Linked DNA regions of Astyanax mexicanus. The protein of the gene in region 2 interacts with the protein of the main gene of each other region in a biochemical or structural test. Links are inferred from orthologs where the notes say so. Each region holds a gene or a part of one and is shown on either strand. Other genes may lie near its edges.

The links.
Region 1: the proteins of tfap2a (region 2) and cited2 form a complex in vitro, tested with the Homo sapiens proteins (2 studies listed by BioGRID, with this or other methods). The link is inferred for Astyanax mexicanus from reciprocal best matches to the Homo sapiens genes TFAP2A and CITED2.

What each region holds. Positions count from the first base shown.
Region 1 is NC_064408.1:57,924,922-57,933,379, reverse strand, and holds cited2 (cbp/p300-interacting transactivator 2), read right to left. Parts: upstream 3,996-8,458; 5' UTR 3,513-3,995; coding exon 2,847-3,512; 3' UTR 1,531-2,846; downstream 1-1,530. UniProt on the Homo sapiens protein: Transcriptional coactivator of the p300/CBP-mediated transcription complex. Acts as a bridge, linking TFAP2 transcription factors and the p300/CBP transcriptional coactivator complex in order to stimulate TFAP2-mediated transcriptional activation.
Region 2 is NC_064408.1:107,713,128-107,721,662, reverse strand, and holds the start of tfap2a (transcription factor AP-2-alpha), read left to right. Parts: upstream 1-4,589; 5' UTR 4,590-4,619; coding exon 4,620-4,673; intron 4,674-5,060; coding exon 5,061-5,480; intron 5,481-6,618; coding exon 6,619-6,670; intron 6,671-8,171; coding exon 8,172-8,400; intron 8,401-8,535.

The DNA.
Region 1 (8,458 bases), about 50 Mb from region 2:
AAAAAACTTTACTGACACAACCCCATACCATGGTGTACTTTGGCTTTTGGACTTGCTCCTAACAATTTGGATGGTCTTTCTCCTCTTTTTTCCAGCACATGCTGTTTATTCCTTCCTAGAAAAAGAAAAGCTGACTAGTGTGACCACAGTACACATTTCCAATGTGTGATGTCTATCCTAGATGCCTCAGAGACTTAGACCACTTCTGGACCTGGTTAACATAAGCCTTCTGTTATGCTCAGAAAAAGGTGGTATTTGTGAATGTAACTTCATTTTTATTATACTTGATGAAAGTGATCACAAGTAATAATGGTAATGTAGTTCCAACATTCTGTTGTTGAATAATGGTTTTTGATGAGTAAGGGGAGATCACAGGTGGTTAGTTTAGGCCTGTGTCCCTCCCCTTTACACACTAAAATCTTCCTGAATCCTTGAACTCATGATATTATGCAATATTGATATTATGAATATGATATTAGGAAGAAATGTATTTTGTGGATTTGTACCAAATTATGATTATGAAAACATGTTGACATCACATGTTAAAATCACGTCATTAGGTAAAACTAGTTTGGTCTGAAATGAAGGAATGGATTTGTATAAACAAATGTGATGAAGTTGGCCAGACAAACAATAGCTTAGGTTCATACTGTCTGCAATGAAATAGACGTCAAAGTTAATGTAACATTTGTTTTTCCATTTGCATTTTCCATACTGTTCCAACTTATTCTGATTTGTATTTATTGTAGAAAGCCTTCACTTGGCAGTAGAGACAGCTGCTACAATAAAAGCAGAATCATTTCAGAAGAAATACAAATGAGCTGGTGTCCAAGTACATTTGTCCACTTAATGTATTTAAAGGTTGGCTCTTTGAATTGTTATGGTTCAGTCAACCAGACAAAGCATCATGTAAGTATTTTTGGTTCCATGTAGAACCATAGCCTTGTCTGAAAAGAGGTTTATGAGTGTAAACCTGATTACACATACAGTTCCTAAAAGTTTATATTATCTGAAGATTCTTTGAACCGTAAAAAAGGGTTTTTAGACAAAATTTTCTAAAGAACAACCCACTTAATTGTTTAAGGGAACAACACATTTGTTATTCTACGGGTTCTATGCATTACTTTCAGGCACATTTGAAAAGTTAAAATAAATAAAAGCTTCTATATTAGGAAATAGGCATATACAGAGTCTAAAAATACTAGAATTTTGTGTTTTCAAAGCTGTACTCAAGTACAGTATTATTTGTAGGTATTGTCTAATGCCTTTTTTGAGTCATAATTTTGGTAAATTTGATTGACATGCAATGGATGGGAAAGAGGAATGTGCAATCAAACTTCTGTTCTTCTCAAAGATCACAAGGTACCAACTGTTTTTAGAAAAATGAGTTTTAAATAAATGTGCTCAGGTGTCCAAACAATGTGCACATTCCTCTGCACATTAATGATGTAGTATTGTAACCAAATACTACTGATAAAGTACATAAACCCAGTGCCATACACATCTATAAATTAAATGACCTTGACAGTGTTCACTTCAGTAATACATTTCTGCTGCTTTATTCATGTTTGCAAATTAAAATATAATAAATTAACATTTTCTTCTAAAAAATATACAAAAATACTGTCAAACTTTCCTAGAAAGCCTCAACACAGTAGTATTGCCATGTATCGCATACTAGATAAGCACAGTGGTGTATCTATAACTGATGGAGGTGATAATCCCACATGGCCTTCCTTTAAGAACATTCCAGGCTTTGTTTTTAATCTCCACTCACAAAAAGAGCAGAACAGGGCAGTGGATATTCAATACAGCAACATTTTTCTCCACCGTTCCCTTAAGACTTACTGTCCTATATCTTCTTAAATATCTCTCCCTGTTTGATACCATAGTACCAATTTTAGCATGAAGCATAGAACACACCTACACACACACACATCACTCCCACAGTTGATTCTTTTCAGTAAAATTATGGAGGAACAGGTCTCTGAATGATCTTAGCTGATAGATCAGACGATCAGGAAGCTGTAGGGAAGAATGTTAATGGTTCAAAGCTTCCACCCATGGTCTCTCAACAGCATAGATATTGTGTAAATATTATGGCCACTGAAGTTTACAGCACATTGCTGAATGGGGACAATTACACTATATACTGGTCTACAATCATGATACATAACCACCTACATAGTGATGCATCCACACGAGTTTGATCTCACTCAGGTCTTCCGATCAACAGCTTTAAATAACACAGGAAACTGAAGGATTTGACCAGAATGCACAAGTTGGTATCTTGTCTCTGCTACAAATCAAAAGATGCTGAACAAACAGCTCATGGGTTCTAGGCTTCCATTGTCTTCTCCACGTGTCCTGCAGACTCTGTGTCAAAAAAAAAATCATGTGGTGTTCTGCATGACCTATTGGGGGTGTCACTCAGCCAAGGAAAAGTGTTTCAGGCATGCACCCCTTATGCTAAACACACTCATTATCACCAACCATCATCTACAACATGGGCTCGTTCAGAATAGAAAAGAAAAAAGTTCAATCCCCATCTGGCCCCTTCTTGTTGTGGTTGCTGTAGTGGATTTTTCCTTAAAAAAATGTCAAGAAAGAAAAATAACAAAAGAAAACAAAATAAAAGAAAAATGACTATACAAAATAAAATGGAATGTCAAGTTTAAATAAAAGAAAATGTGAAACAAAATAGTGTCCATAAATAAAACAAAAGAGGGAAAAACAATCATAAATCACAGAAGCTCCAGGGTTTCGGTCAGTTATGAGAAATGAAATAAGCAGCTTTATAAAAGCCCCCTCTGCAGTGGTAGTAGTGGTGTGTCAGTGGTGGTATATTAGCAGCTGACTCGGCTGGGCTGCTGTTTGCACACAAAGTCCGTCATGAAGTCGAACTCGTTCTGGCCCAGCCACAGCTCGGGCAGCTCCTTTATCCTGTCCAGTCCCATCTCCACCACCAGCGCCATCAGCACCTCCTCGTCGATCAGGTCCGTGTCGATGACGCTGTGCGCGGCGGGGAGCTGCGGGGGCTCCCTGCCCGCCGCCCCGAGCCTGGCCCCGCCGTCCCGGAACCCGCCCTGCAGCTCGTGCGGGTAGTGGAGGAGGTGCTGCTGGGGTTGGGGCTGGGGCTGCTGCGGGTGGTGGTGCGGGTGGTGCTGGGTGTAGTACTGTGTGTTCAGCTTCTGCAGCTGCATGCTCGCCGCCAGCTGCCCCTGACCGCCGGTGGCCACGAACTGAGAGGCGAAGCGCGCGGGAACCGCCACGCTGCCGCCCGGGTGCCGGAGCCCGTGGCTTCCAGCGCCGCTGCTGTAGTGCATGGGCTCCAGCATGCCGTTACTGTAGCCGTGCTGCTGCTGCTGCGGCTGGAGGGGGCTGGAGAACTGCCCCATGCCCATCCTGCGCTGCTGCTGCTGCTGCTGCGGGTGGGGGTGATGGTGCTGGTGGAGACCGTTCACGGCTTCAGGGAATCGGCCATGGTTCATAGCCATCATGCGGTCGACCATTCCCCCCTGCGGGACGGGGGGGGGGGGGGAGCAGGAGGGGGGAGAACAGCACACGCACGCGGCGGCTCAGGCAAAGCACCCCATGCGTGCACAGCGCGCCGCGTCGACCACAAGCAGCACCAGTAGCAGAACTTTCAGCCTTTCCCAACCAGATCACTTCAGCTGAAGATGCGGTGGAAATCCCTGGAGCTGAGCTGAAGGAGGAGGTCAGAAAATCGCAAAACGCTCCAAAACTCTTCTTTTACTTCCTTTAGTGGCTGAAAAAAAGTATACAAACAACTCCAAAAGACTGGACTCGATCCCTAATCCCAGCTCCCAGTGAAGCCCGCGCTGTGTCCGCTCCTCAAAAACACCGAAACACACTAAAACACACTGAAGCAGCTCACTACAGCACACTGCTCCGAGCGCTCGCTCTCACACTCAGAAACACACACCTTCAGAGAGGGGGCGGGGCCACGCGGATTCCAGTAACGCCCCCTCGCGCTGGGATTGGTCAGTGGGTTCGGGCTATTCCTGCGCTGCGACTGGCCTCCTCCACTCTGACTCACACTCACGACTCTGAGGAACACCAACCAGCTCTGCAGAACACGAAACACTCAGCCAATCCCAGCGCACCGGAGGCGTGGCCTGTCGGAATAGAGGCGGGAAAGAAAAGCAACATAGGAGAAACCGAAGTCTGGATTCACAAAACATGCAGTGGAGGTAGAGGAGCAGTGTCCTCTCAGAGCTGAACATTACCTCACTGCAGCTATTTCTGTTCAACAGTCACAAACACCCCGGTCACGTCTCACTGTGTAGCACACAGGTCCTGCACTTCCCTCACAGCCTCAGAACAACAGCTAATGATAAAACAGTCAACTGCTCCAAGGGATTTGTTGTCGTTGTCTTTAAATGGTTGTCTGTTACAGCTGGCTTAAAATAACTGCCTGGAGGAGTCAGTTTTAGAGAGTAAACAAGGAGGATTAGCCTGCTCAACAACATTTAATTAAACTGCAGTTTCCTTCACCCACATCCCATGCTTAATGCTCTTTCACATCCAGAGTGACTTATTTTTGGACATAAAAACATGCCATTTTTTAGAATAGTGGAACGGTCACGCCAAGTCTGGCAGCATTTTTCACCTCTGTGTTCTGTAAACAGGGCTTCTTCCACTCATTCTGTTTCTCTGTTCTCTGTCTGCTTTCTGTTCTCTTTAATTCCTCACTGGTGCTCACTAGTATGAGGAGCTTAAGTTTGTGGCTCTTTATGAAACATGAACAGATTAGAATAAATCTAGACGTAAATACTGGTGCATCTCAAAAATTTTTAATATAATTTAAAAGTTACTTTATTTCAGTAATTCAGTTCAAAATGTAAAACCCATATATCATATAGATGTATTTAACAGAGTGATCTATTTTAAGCCAGAGTCTGGAGAAAGAGTGGAGAGGCACACATTCCAAGCTGCTTGAGGTCTAGTGTGAAGTTTCCACAATCATTTTTGGGGGGTAAAAGTGTCAAACTATATTATAGAATTATAGTAATCGAAATACCAACAAATACCAAGCCACCTAATTAATTCATATATTGGCAGATATATCTAAATATTCATAGTAATTGTAACAAATCAGTAGAAGCACATTGCATGTGTTTCTGTTCAGGCATGCACGCTGACACTGTGTTGCTTCAGTTATTCCGAGGTGAAGGACAATAGCATTCCAAATTTGTTTAATGCCGGAGCTGTTCGAATCAGTCACACTAGGGAATCTAACTAATGAGCCTCACACCCACTAAAGCCTTATGTTAGAAACCTATTGCACATTTTGGTGTCATAACCAATCAGTTCAAGAGTTCGGTGTGCCTCTTGTCTACATGGAAAACAACCTGCTGTACCAAAGTCCAACTGGGCCGTACAATCTTTAGTTTGTTGGGGATATTTCCTTTCCCTGCATTATCTCTTGATTCCTGTTGATTCTAAAAAAGTACACTAAACTCAAATAGACACGCGATAGTTTTGTTTATAGCATATTAATATGTGAAATGCACCAAAACATTACCTTTTGGAGGCACAATGATTGTAATAAATCAAATAAGTTTTTTTTCTGCCTGTGCAACAGGGGTAACAGTAATAAAGAAACCTGTAAATAGATTTTTAGACGAAGAAATATGCAGGATTCCATTTTTTTATATTTCATGTTTACCATCTTTACTAAACCAGTTATACAATTTAGTGTATAAAATGTATATATAAACTTGTTATTGCAATAACAAGGCATCACTTAAAACATGAAAAAATGCAAGATGAGCAAATGAACATATTTAATCAGAGCCAGTACTTTATTTAACAAGTAAGATCACTTCTTATTTTTGAAGGATTTTGTATGGGTAACAAAATAGAATATAAGAATTAGAAACTGGCAATGTCAGCTGTATAAACAATCTTTGCTGAGGCCTCCTTCGCAAGCTTTACAAACACTGCTTCTTATAGTGGGAAACGCAATTGCTTGTTGTTTTGGTCACAATTCTGTTACGTGTCTGTGTGTAAAACTCAAGCTTCAGTCAGCTAAGATCCCGAATAGTCAATAATAAGCCAGCCCCGCTGGTGCACCGACCTCAATCAGAGGCTAAGCAGCGGCTTGAAAGCAAAAGTGCAGGGGCAAAGGGGAACAAAGCACAGTGGTAGCACATGGATCTCCCATGTGTAGCTTATCACAGAGCTGCTCCCACCCACCCCTCTGTTTATCCTCTGCGCTTCCTGAAAGGTGCAGGGGGAAGGTGTTTTATGTTTATCTAGTGTAGACTGCAATAAATCACTCATGACTATTGAACTGCCTAGTCCCCAAAGCCCGGCCCAATCAGATGTGTTAATGTTATTGCGTAAAGTAAACATGTGTATTGCAAAGAGTGATCTGATGTATTATTATATCCAATATTTCAATACATTTGCATTTCATGCATAATCTGAGTAAGTACCAAAATAAACAAACATAAAATAGTACCACATACATATTTAAACAATATTTAAAGTAGAGGTGTGTGAATGTGAAAAATCTCTACTTGATGCTAAACTTCTTCACCCATTTCTATTACAAACATGCCTTTTTATGAGTCTTTATGGATCAAATAAGGTTTCTCTATGTCATTACTGTAAGAACCAATTGAAGCCTCTGTAATTTAAAGCCTCTGCAAAAATTTTAAATAGTACTATTTAAAGAGTATATATGTGTGTATTTTATGATCTGTTTGTATTTTTTAGTCTGCTTAGTTTTTTAATATTGTTTTTGACCGGTCACTCTGTACTCTCCTGAACTCAACAACCATCCCCTTATTTTTTCCACATCCTGGAACAGGTTAAGACCCACCACAGTTGTGTCATCAAGGAACTTGCAGACAGCAGAGTGAACAGCACTTGCTTCAGTCGCTGAGATCCTTATTTTTACTTTTTTAACCTTAAATTTAAGAACTGCCTGTTCAGATGCTGCCTAAAATATTCCACCCTTTACTTGGTGCTACTCTCACCAGATATACTTCACTTCATTTGTCAGTGGTTTTATTGTTATGGCTGCTTGATTTTTATTGATCTCTGTTTTTAAAAGGACTTCATTTCCTTCACATTTTTCTTCAGCCGTCCCAGATCTGTTGTATGTTAGCAGAGTCATCCGGCTAATTTCTTCCCACTTTCAGAGGTTCAGCATGTCAGGAAAGAATGTGAAGCATGTATCTTTGATGAATCTCATGGCTGAGCATCGAGTTCAACCCACTTGTCTTTCATGGAGCGCACACTCTGTGAGCTTGGTGGCGAGATAACAGAGAGCTCTCTCCATGTAAGGAGACACCTGCTTTTCCAAACAGATTCAGAGAAAAAAACGTCAGCCTTCATTATGCTGTGGATAAACATGTCCATTTCAGCAGCGTTATTGGAGGGAATAAAGGCTGATGTGAGTCATCTCTTGTCAGCTTTAATTGAACAGTGAGCTGGAGTGAAAGCCAGAGCTCTTATGTTCTCTATGTGAAAGAGGGTTTATTTACAGAATGCTACCTGAGGGTTTTGTTTATATTCAGATTTCATTTAATGTGTTTGCTTAAGGTTACATTTCTCTCCATAGTGTGAACAATGATTTAGCACACTTTTTGATGAATCGCTGTGTTCATAATTTTCATAAGCCATTTTTGAAAGGATTGCCATCAGGTACTGCTGAGGGATGTATTAGTTATGTCAGCTTTATTAAAAACATTTACCTTACTCTTATTCTCCCTAGTCACACGCATTATTTAGGTATACAATTCCAGACTGTGGCCCATCTGTTGTCATGCATTATTTGTGAGCCACCCTCTGTTCAGTTCATCTGACCACATGACTGCCGTTCACTAGATATTATTTGAGTGATGAATGATTCTCATGTCAGTGAAGTGATATGTATTCATTTTTACGCAAAACTATACTGAAAAAGACATTATCTGCACATATTAGTGCACACTTTTTGTTTGATTTTACACAAAAACAGAAAAAGGAAAACAGCTAACCATGAAGATGACACAAGAGACATGCTGCACCCTTCTAACATCAAATGGAATTGTAGATAACAGGCAAACACAGTTAGGGCCAGAAGTATTTCTAAACATCTTTATTTGAGCATACAAATGGCATGGCAAAGTTTTGCTTACAATAACTCCTTTGAAATGTTCTTTTTCTTGCTGACAAAAAAAAAGGCTTAGCTATAAAATTCCTACAGCGATGCTTTAAAATCTAGTAGAAAGCCTCCATTGAACAGTTTAGACAGTTACCCAAACAAAAATAGGATAAACTCTTTTTATACCCTTGATTTTGGAAGAAATAATAAATTAGCTGGTCACCATACTTTTGTCCATAGAGCATACATGAAAAATGTGGTGTACAGGTTTTAAATTATGTTTTCTGAACATTGTAACACAGTAATGGCAAAGGCCAAGGAAATTAATGCAGATCA
Region 2 (8,535 bases):
GCCAAAGCTTCCTTAATCAAAACACGTCCTCCAGAAAAGCAGCGATCATCCACACTGAGTGTGTATAATCCACGCTTTGGTTGCAGTCAGATCTGCACCTGGTGTGTAAACGGCGCTCTGTAGGATTTGGGAGTGTTTTGTACCATCACAGGTGTAGCTCACACACGTAAAGGCGCAGTGCGCATGCGCCGCGAGGTGGCACTCTTTTTATGACCAGGTGAGTAGATTTTGTTCAGGTAAAACCTGGAATTTCGCTTAAGGACAGGAGCCTAAATGAGATAGCACGGCGTGTGATCTGTCCTCTCCAGCAAGAAGAATCAAGCATGTCAGTCGTGGGCAAAATGTTAGATTGGCAGGTACGTGCTATCCCTTTGGGTCATGGAGGTGTGTGTGTGTTTATGTGTGTGTCTGTGTGTGTGTGCTTGCTTTTACTTTTGAACACAGGTAGCCTATACTTAATGCGGTAACTATTGCCACTGCAACTAGTAGATACATTCTGTTTCAGCCGCACTTTTCACGTGCCAAGGAATTGATCGCTTCAAATTGAAGTGAAAAGTTTAACGCGTGAATTGGTGAATCGGAGAAATCGTGCATTTTTTAAGCAAATCTTACTCTAAGCCTTTGACGAAAAAACAAAACAGTCAACATAAGACTGTCTGGAGAACTTTTGTCCTGAAGGAAATATATATATTACAAGGGCTGATATATATATATATATATATATATATATATATATATATATATATATATATATATATATATATATATATATACTCTTTAAACATTGCCAAATTAATCATACTAAATTTTGCAAGTGGTAAATTATTATTATTATTTGAGAATTAAATCAACCAAGTAAACTGCACTAGTTTTTTTGTCGTCAAAAGCTTCTTAACACAACAGGTAAAGTATTAAAATGTATTTTCTTAAACCCCAACACAGGTATTATTTAGCATCGAAGGGCAGGACGCGGAGTTTTCCCACCACGATCGCTGAACAGCAAGGGGGGGCGCAAAAAATACACTCTATAAGCCTAAACATATCTGCAGAAGAATGCAGTGAGGTTGGCCCTAGTTTCAGCAGAGCTTGCTGCTTATCACCAGCCCGGTGTCTTTACGGCCCCATGCACCTCTGCTGCACTTTTCTCTGCCCTAATAATTGCTATTGTGAGCGAGTTTCATTTTGCCCTTTCATTAATGACAACTGCTTTCAATGGCTGTTTTTTTACCCCCCACACCAATGATAATAGCTACTGAAATGGAGAAGGCCAACGCCTTAAACCTGTCGCCCATGTGCCTTTTCGCCGTGACCCGGGGTCCCGGGGTGCTCGTGTCGCCGCTGTCGCGGGGCCAAGCCCCTCTCGTCGTCCACTCCCTCATTCACATTTAACGACCGCACGTTGTTGTGTTAATTATTGACAGCTCCAAAACAGCACTCTCAATGGAGCTCCTGTACCTGCACTAGAATCGACCGCTTTGCATAACAGAGACAGCAGCGTCTCGCGGGCTAAGCTTCTCAATGGGTCTAAAACAACAGTTTACGAAAATCCTTGCGCCAACAAAGTATCTGTGGCGACGGAGAGGTGTGCTGGATATTTGCATTGTACCATAAAGGTCACTGATATGCTAAAGAAGAAGCTTGGTTTTGAGAGCTGTCATTGCAGCAATGTTGAATTGCACCTGAAACGGTGCAATAAAAAATGACAGATGCAATTAGATGATAATAATAATAATAATAATAATAATAATAATAATAATAATAATAATAATAATAATAATAATAATAATAATAATAATAATAATAAATGGCCTATATATACTGAAATATAAATATAGATTTATAGTATGTAGTTAAAATATAAATGTTTTTTTTTTGTTTACAAGGTTGGAAATAGTTTTGTTCCTTTTGGTCTCATGCACATTTTTTTCAGCTGAGCTTGCGCATTATAGGTAAACTTGCATTTTGCCAAACTACTTTACAGCAAATACTACTACTAGCTGAAGTGGGGATGTATATTAGATGTTCTCGAGCTCTCACCCAGCAGATAGCCTACTGTACCTCTGTTGGAGTTGGGGAGGAAAACAAAGCTCTCCAAACACTTCAGACTTCAGATCTCTGAGCGAATGTTTTTTTTTTTGTACCTGAGTGTGTTCATTGGTGATGGCTAGATGAAAATCAAGCTGATATGCTAATGAGGGAGTTCTACCAGCGCTGTGCGAGCCTCTAAACTTCCACCATTAGAGGGAGATCTGAGCGCGCGCACTGCTCAGCCCGCCGAAGCTCTGCCATCTTGAGCTCTGCGCACTGGGTGTAAAACTAGGCAAAGACGCTCTATACTCACTTCACAACCCATGAAAATGCTGTGGAAATTAACAGATAATATTAAATATGAAGACTGTGAGGTAAGAAACGAGTTTATTTCTATTTAAGATATTTTTGTTGCGCTTGAAAAAAAATCTGCAGAATTTTATAGTGTATTTCATTATAATTTTTATTTAATAATAAGTAATGCATATCTAAAAGTGTTTCATATTTTTTACATATCTGCACGTGCTTTCGTTATCAAACATGTTCATGATTTTTGTTTAGAAATAATAACAATATAATTAATATCAATAACAATTATTATTGTCTCAATAACAATATTAATATATAATAGTATATATAGTAAATAGTAAATATTCCGGATGATGAAATCATGAGTAATACAGCATTTTTGACAAAAACACAACTTGCAAAATAAAAACCCCAAACACATTTGCATAAATAAACATAGAAACATATTATTAACTTTTTTAAATGCTAATGTCAATGTATTGTTATAATAATTATTATTAAAAATACAATTTTCATTACTATTATTAGCATTGATAGCATTAATATTATTAAGAGTAATACTAGTAAAAATAATAACAATATTAATAATGATGGTGATATTATTATTATTTTATTTATTATTATTTTTTTAATATTATTAATAATAATGTTATTATATGTTACTAAAAAATAAGTGATACTAATCAATGTTATTATTAAGTAACACTTGTTATTTTATTTAGATTTTAATCAATTAATTTTAATGCTAAAAATAAACTACCAAAAATTAGCACGGTGGTTTTGCTGTAGCTGTTTCTTTTAAAGCTGTATCGGTGTGATCGCTCAATTGGAAGGAAGGTTAGGACGGTGCTGCCCGTGTGTTTGTGTGGAGTGTGTGGATTGCTGCAGCCAGTCGAGCATGTTTTTGTTCCCCTACGGACGACAGACACATAAATTTTGACTCTTCTTTCGCACGAATTGTTCAAGCTTGTGTGATTTTATTTATTTGCTCGTTTAATTTAATTTACATCGAGTATTTTTGTTTTTTAAATAAAAAACCCGTGATGAACAGGATCGCGTGCGAATAAGCCGAGAAGCGGAGGGGTGGACGTTTGCTCTGTCCCTGTGTGTGTGCGTGTGTATGTTTTGAGTAAACGTTAAGTCGTAAACTTTGGAGTTTTTTTGGCCAGCTCATAGAGCCAATTCAGCTGTGTGTTGTTAGTCATGTGGCTGAGCTCTCGGGGAGCAGCTTGGGAAGGCCATGCGACAAAAAGAGAAAAGTAGTAAAAAGAGAAGGAACAGCACCAAACATGCTCAGAAATTCCCTAGCCCTCGTCGGATTCTCTTAGCAGTCTGAGGCGCTCGACGTTTTCTTTGCTTCGGTTCTTAGTTGGGTTCCTCTCTCTCTGTCGTTCGTTCTTTCACTTTTCCTCGCCCTCAAATCTTTTAAAACGCCCCCCTCTCTCTCTGATTCGTCAGACGCCAGAGAATGTCCCTCTTTTTGTCTCTCTCTTCCTCCCTCCCTCTCTCTCTCACTCTCTCTCACCCACTCCCCCTCTCTTTCTCTCCCCATCTCTGATTAGATATACTGATTCCTCATTCAATGGACGTCATTTAGTGCGGAGTCTGCCTTGAGTTGCTTCCTCGCTTCACGCTCGATTTCCGACCATTCTTCCCTTATTAAGTATTCGTGTAATATTAATAGTCATGAATATCTGCTATTAGGAGTCCGAGAGGAAGAAGAGGCAGCTCTTTTGCTAAATATGCGCCCAAGCGAGGGAACAGCTTACTGAGAGAGCGAAGGAGGCGAAGGAAAAGAGGATCTAAGAAACTTAAAAAACACTCCGATCCGCCAAGACCCTCCAAACAACAACAACAAAACTGCATTTATTTCTTTTTTTCTTTTTTGAATTTTTTTATTTTGGTTTTGGTTTCCGTCTCCAACAGCAGATGAAGAACATTGGGAATTTTACCCAGGCTCTGATGGATTATCGTGCTTCTTCTCCGCGTATTTGAATACTGGGACTCCGTGACCTCGACGCACAGACAAACAGAAAGAACGCAAGAAAGAAAGAGAAATACATAGAAAAGCCGCCTCAGTGCTGTGGGCTCTTTATTCCGGTTCGACCGCTCCGGCTCTTTGCCCAGGTTTTTGCGTTCTCCTTGCAGAAACGCTCGGAAATCTCTTCAGATGTTAGTGCACAGCTTTTCCGCGATGGTGAGTGAGTGCGGGGCTGGCGGGATGAAAGTGTAGAGAGGACCGTCTTTTTTCCCTTTTTGTGTATATTTATGTCTGCATCGTCATGCAAGCCATAATATCTAATATCAAATACCATTACAAAGACTTTTTACTGGATGTGAGCTCTTGATATTTTTTTTTCAATATTTGAATATATTTTTGTGTGTTTTTTTTTTTTTTTTACAATTTTATGTGTATTTTATGGGAAACGAAATTGATTTATGTAGTCAAAAATTATTGTTATTATTATTATTATTATTATTATTATTATTATTATTATTATTATTATTATTATTATATTAATAGTAGTCGTATCAGTAGTAGTAGTGGGAGTTGTAGTATTATATTAGTAATAATATATTATAATACTATTATTAGTATTATTGTTTGGCCACTATAATATGAAAAAAATCTGATATTTTTTGCACGAAATTCTTTAGAATTCTTGTTGCTGTCCGCCCTTTCTTATTTTCTCTTCTTTCTTCTCTCTCTCTCCGTCTTGCAGGATCGCCATGACGGGACCAGCAATGGCACGGCCCGGTTACCTCAACTGGGCGGTGTGGGTCAGTCACCGTACACAAGTGCGCCACCGCTTTCTCACACGCCCAACTCGGACTTCCAGCCGCCCTACTTCCCGCCGCCCTACCAGCCCATCTATCCGCAGTCTCAGGACCCTTATTCGCACGTCAATGACCCCTATTCCATCAACTCGCTGCACGCGCAACCACAGCCCCAGCACCCGGGATGGCCAAGCCAACGGCAGAGCCAGGAGAGCAGTCTACTGCACCAGCACCGCGGCCTGCCCCACCAACTGTGCCGGGAATACCGCAGAGAGGTTCTGCTGCCGTCCGGCCACGGTCTCGAGACCGGCCTTACAGACTCTATCCCAATCCACGGAATACCTCACTCTTTAGACGACGTGCAGGTAAGAGCAAAACTTCTCGTAATCCTGTAGTTTTGTATTCTAAAGCTTTTTTAATGGTGAAACTGTAAACAATGTATTTGTCTGGAAATAAAAGTTACTAATTATCGGGCCAACAAATGCGTGTTAAAATAGTTTTACTGGTTAGTACTGGTACAGTAAGTAGTGGTGACTTGTATGTATGTATGTATTTAATGTAGGTATGTATTTAATATGCGATTTAAAGGCATTTGAGCCTTCAGAATTTAGATTCTGTGTTTTTGTTAACCTCAACAATATAATATATATATATATATATATTAACTAAAAACTGGAAATTTGCGTTTCTTTAAAATTATTTTTAAATAGCCAGCATGTTTATCTGGACAGAAAATGTGCCAGTGTTAAATCAAAGCTGTCGGTGTTACATTATACACTTTTTAAATTAAATTAGCACTAATAGTGTTGTTTATACACTGGTGAATTTACTGTGTGATTTTGTCTTTTGCATTTTTTATATTTCAAAAAGACTAAAGTAAAAAAGTACTATAATAAGTACTTTATTAACAATCAAATAATTGCACCGTCATCTCAGGAACATAACATGCTATATTGCACATTTTGCTTTAATACTCTCTGTCATTTTTTGGACGTGATTCCTGGTTACCCTCCTCCTCTTCCCCCATTTCCTTCCCCTTTAATTTAATTGTAGTCTGCCCCGTGAAAAAATTCAAGCGAAGAGAAATAACGAGGCTAAATGACGCATTCGACCCGGAAACATTTTTCAGAAATACTCAGGAATAATACCATATATATTCACTGCGTAGAAAACATTTATTTCATTTATCGCCAGGCAGGTGGGATGGGAGAAATAAATAAAAATAATAATAAAAATAACCAGTATATTTAAATCGATTAAAAATATTTTTAAAGCATCGTTGTAATTTCTCATGTATTTGTCTTTTTACAGCTTGTGCAAGAGATAAAGTACAGTTTTATTGTGCTACACATCACTATGCATTTGGTAGTGGACTGTCATAAACAGTGATGAGATTCATTGAATGGTTCCTCGTTTGCTTAGCAATCTGATTTTGCCAAACCAAATAGAAGCCTCTCTACATTCTGAGTGTGTTTTAATGGCTTATTCTGAACTATTTTACAGCATGTTGAGGATCAAGGAATTCACATCCCTGACCAGACCGTCATCAAGAAAGGTATGCGGCTTTTAAAAAAACCCTGCGTCCGTATTGGCTCTGCACAATCTCACCTTAAAAATAAGACTTTTTGCAGGCCTGTTTTTCTAGAAAGTCTATTTAAAAGTCTAAATTATTTGAAATTTGCTACAGCTAAAAATCGCCCTGTATAGCATATCCGTAAGCGTGTGTGTCTGTGTGCATGTGTGTATTAGTGAGTGAGAGAGAGAAAAATGGTGCGTTCTTTATATCGACTAGTTCTGCACCATCATGATTGCATTTAAAATGGCAGCCTTAACGCTGGGCGAGCACGGATTTTTGATACTTTATCCACGAGAACCGTGGTTGATTTTCTAACAGTTTGGTGCTGTAGAGTTGGCTTTGTCTCCTGGTTGGAAGAGAATGAATGCATAAATTGAATCCGGGCAACTCGTTTTATTTTATGTTTTTTTTTTCGATGCGTTTGTTAAATTCGTCGTGGGTGAATATTAAGGGATGTCTTCTTTTTCTCTCCATATCTGCGCCGTAATTGGTTGTTATATTAGCAATCTCCGGAGTTCGCTTAACTGCCATTGTCTCTATTAGCCTCCGCTGAGCCATTAATGTCACTAGTGATCTATCCAAACGTGCGCGGGCCTTTGTCTCCGTTTACCGTGCAACGCAACTGGGCACCCCTGCAAAGATACACTACAACATGCGCTGCTCCTGGGTTTGTTGGGCAAGTGTGTGTGTGTGTGTGACAGAGAGAGAAAGAGAGAGTGTGAAAAAGAGCGTGTTTTATTCCATGTGTTTGTGAACGCGCGCGCGCGTGTGTGTGTCTGTGAGAGAGAAAGAGTGAGGGAATCTGGAAAATGTGCAATAAGCAGAATAGCCTATTTCTGAATGAGGTCTTTTAGAACAGTAGATGGGATGTAAAGATTACTTTTGATTAAATGTGACTGAACGTGACAATTAGTTGATTATTATTATTATTATTATTATTATTATTATTATTATTATTACAAGAATGTGGACATTTTTGAACACCGTTTTTAAACAATGTTTTTTTCTTTATGCTAAAACTCTGAAAAATCAGGCAAGGGCATCACATAGTGTTTACAGATGCGCTGTTTCTCTCATTACCCCCCTCGGCGGGTCATCCAGACAGTGTCCAAATCGCAGCAAATCCCGCGCACGTTCCGCTGTCATATTCTTTAAGCCTGCACTGCAGTCACAATCGCGCTAATATTAAATATTTTGATGGCTGGGCCACTTCATTACCCGAGGCACATTTGAGCAGTTACATTCATGAGCTGAATGAAAAGCCACTGCTATCGTATCTATTTTCCTTTCACCCCTCCTCCTCAGATAAGAACATATTGCCTTTGATTTCACAGGCCTGCGACGAGATGCGGTGCATACGCTTATTCCATATTTTGTCTGTGTGAATATCAATTCTTACCCCTCATACCCATACCTATCTCCATCCCCATTCCATGAGACTATATGAAGGTTCTCAAAATCATGTCCTGCTTTCTTCTAGGTCCTGTTTCCTTGTCTAAGAACAACAGCAATGTGTCGGCCATCCCCATTAACAAAGATGGGCTCTTCGGCGGCGTGGTCAACCCAAACGAAGTGTTCTGCTCGGTCCCTGGCCGCCTGTCTCTACTCAGCTCCACCTCAAAGTACAAGGTCACGGTAGCAGAAGTGCAGAGACGCCTCTCGCCGCCCGAGTGCCTCAACGCTTCCCTGCTCGGCGGGGTGTTGAGAAGGTGAGGTTTTGCTTTTTTTACCCCATTAAATGTCACCAATAATTACATCCGAGCAGTCGATTCCTGGCTGTCCAAACAGCTCAAATTGGCGGACATTAGGGATCTCAAACTCCGACGCTGTTCAGGCTAGACAAG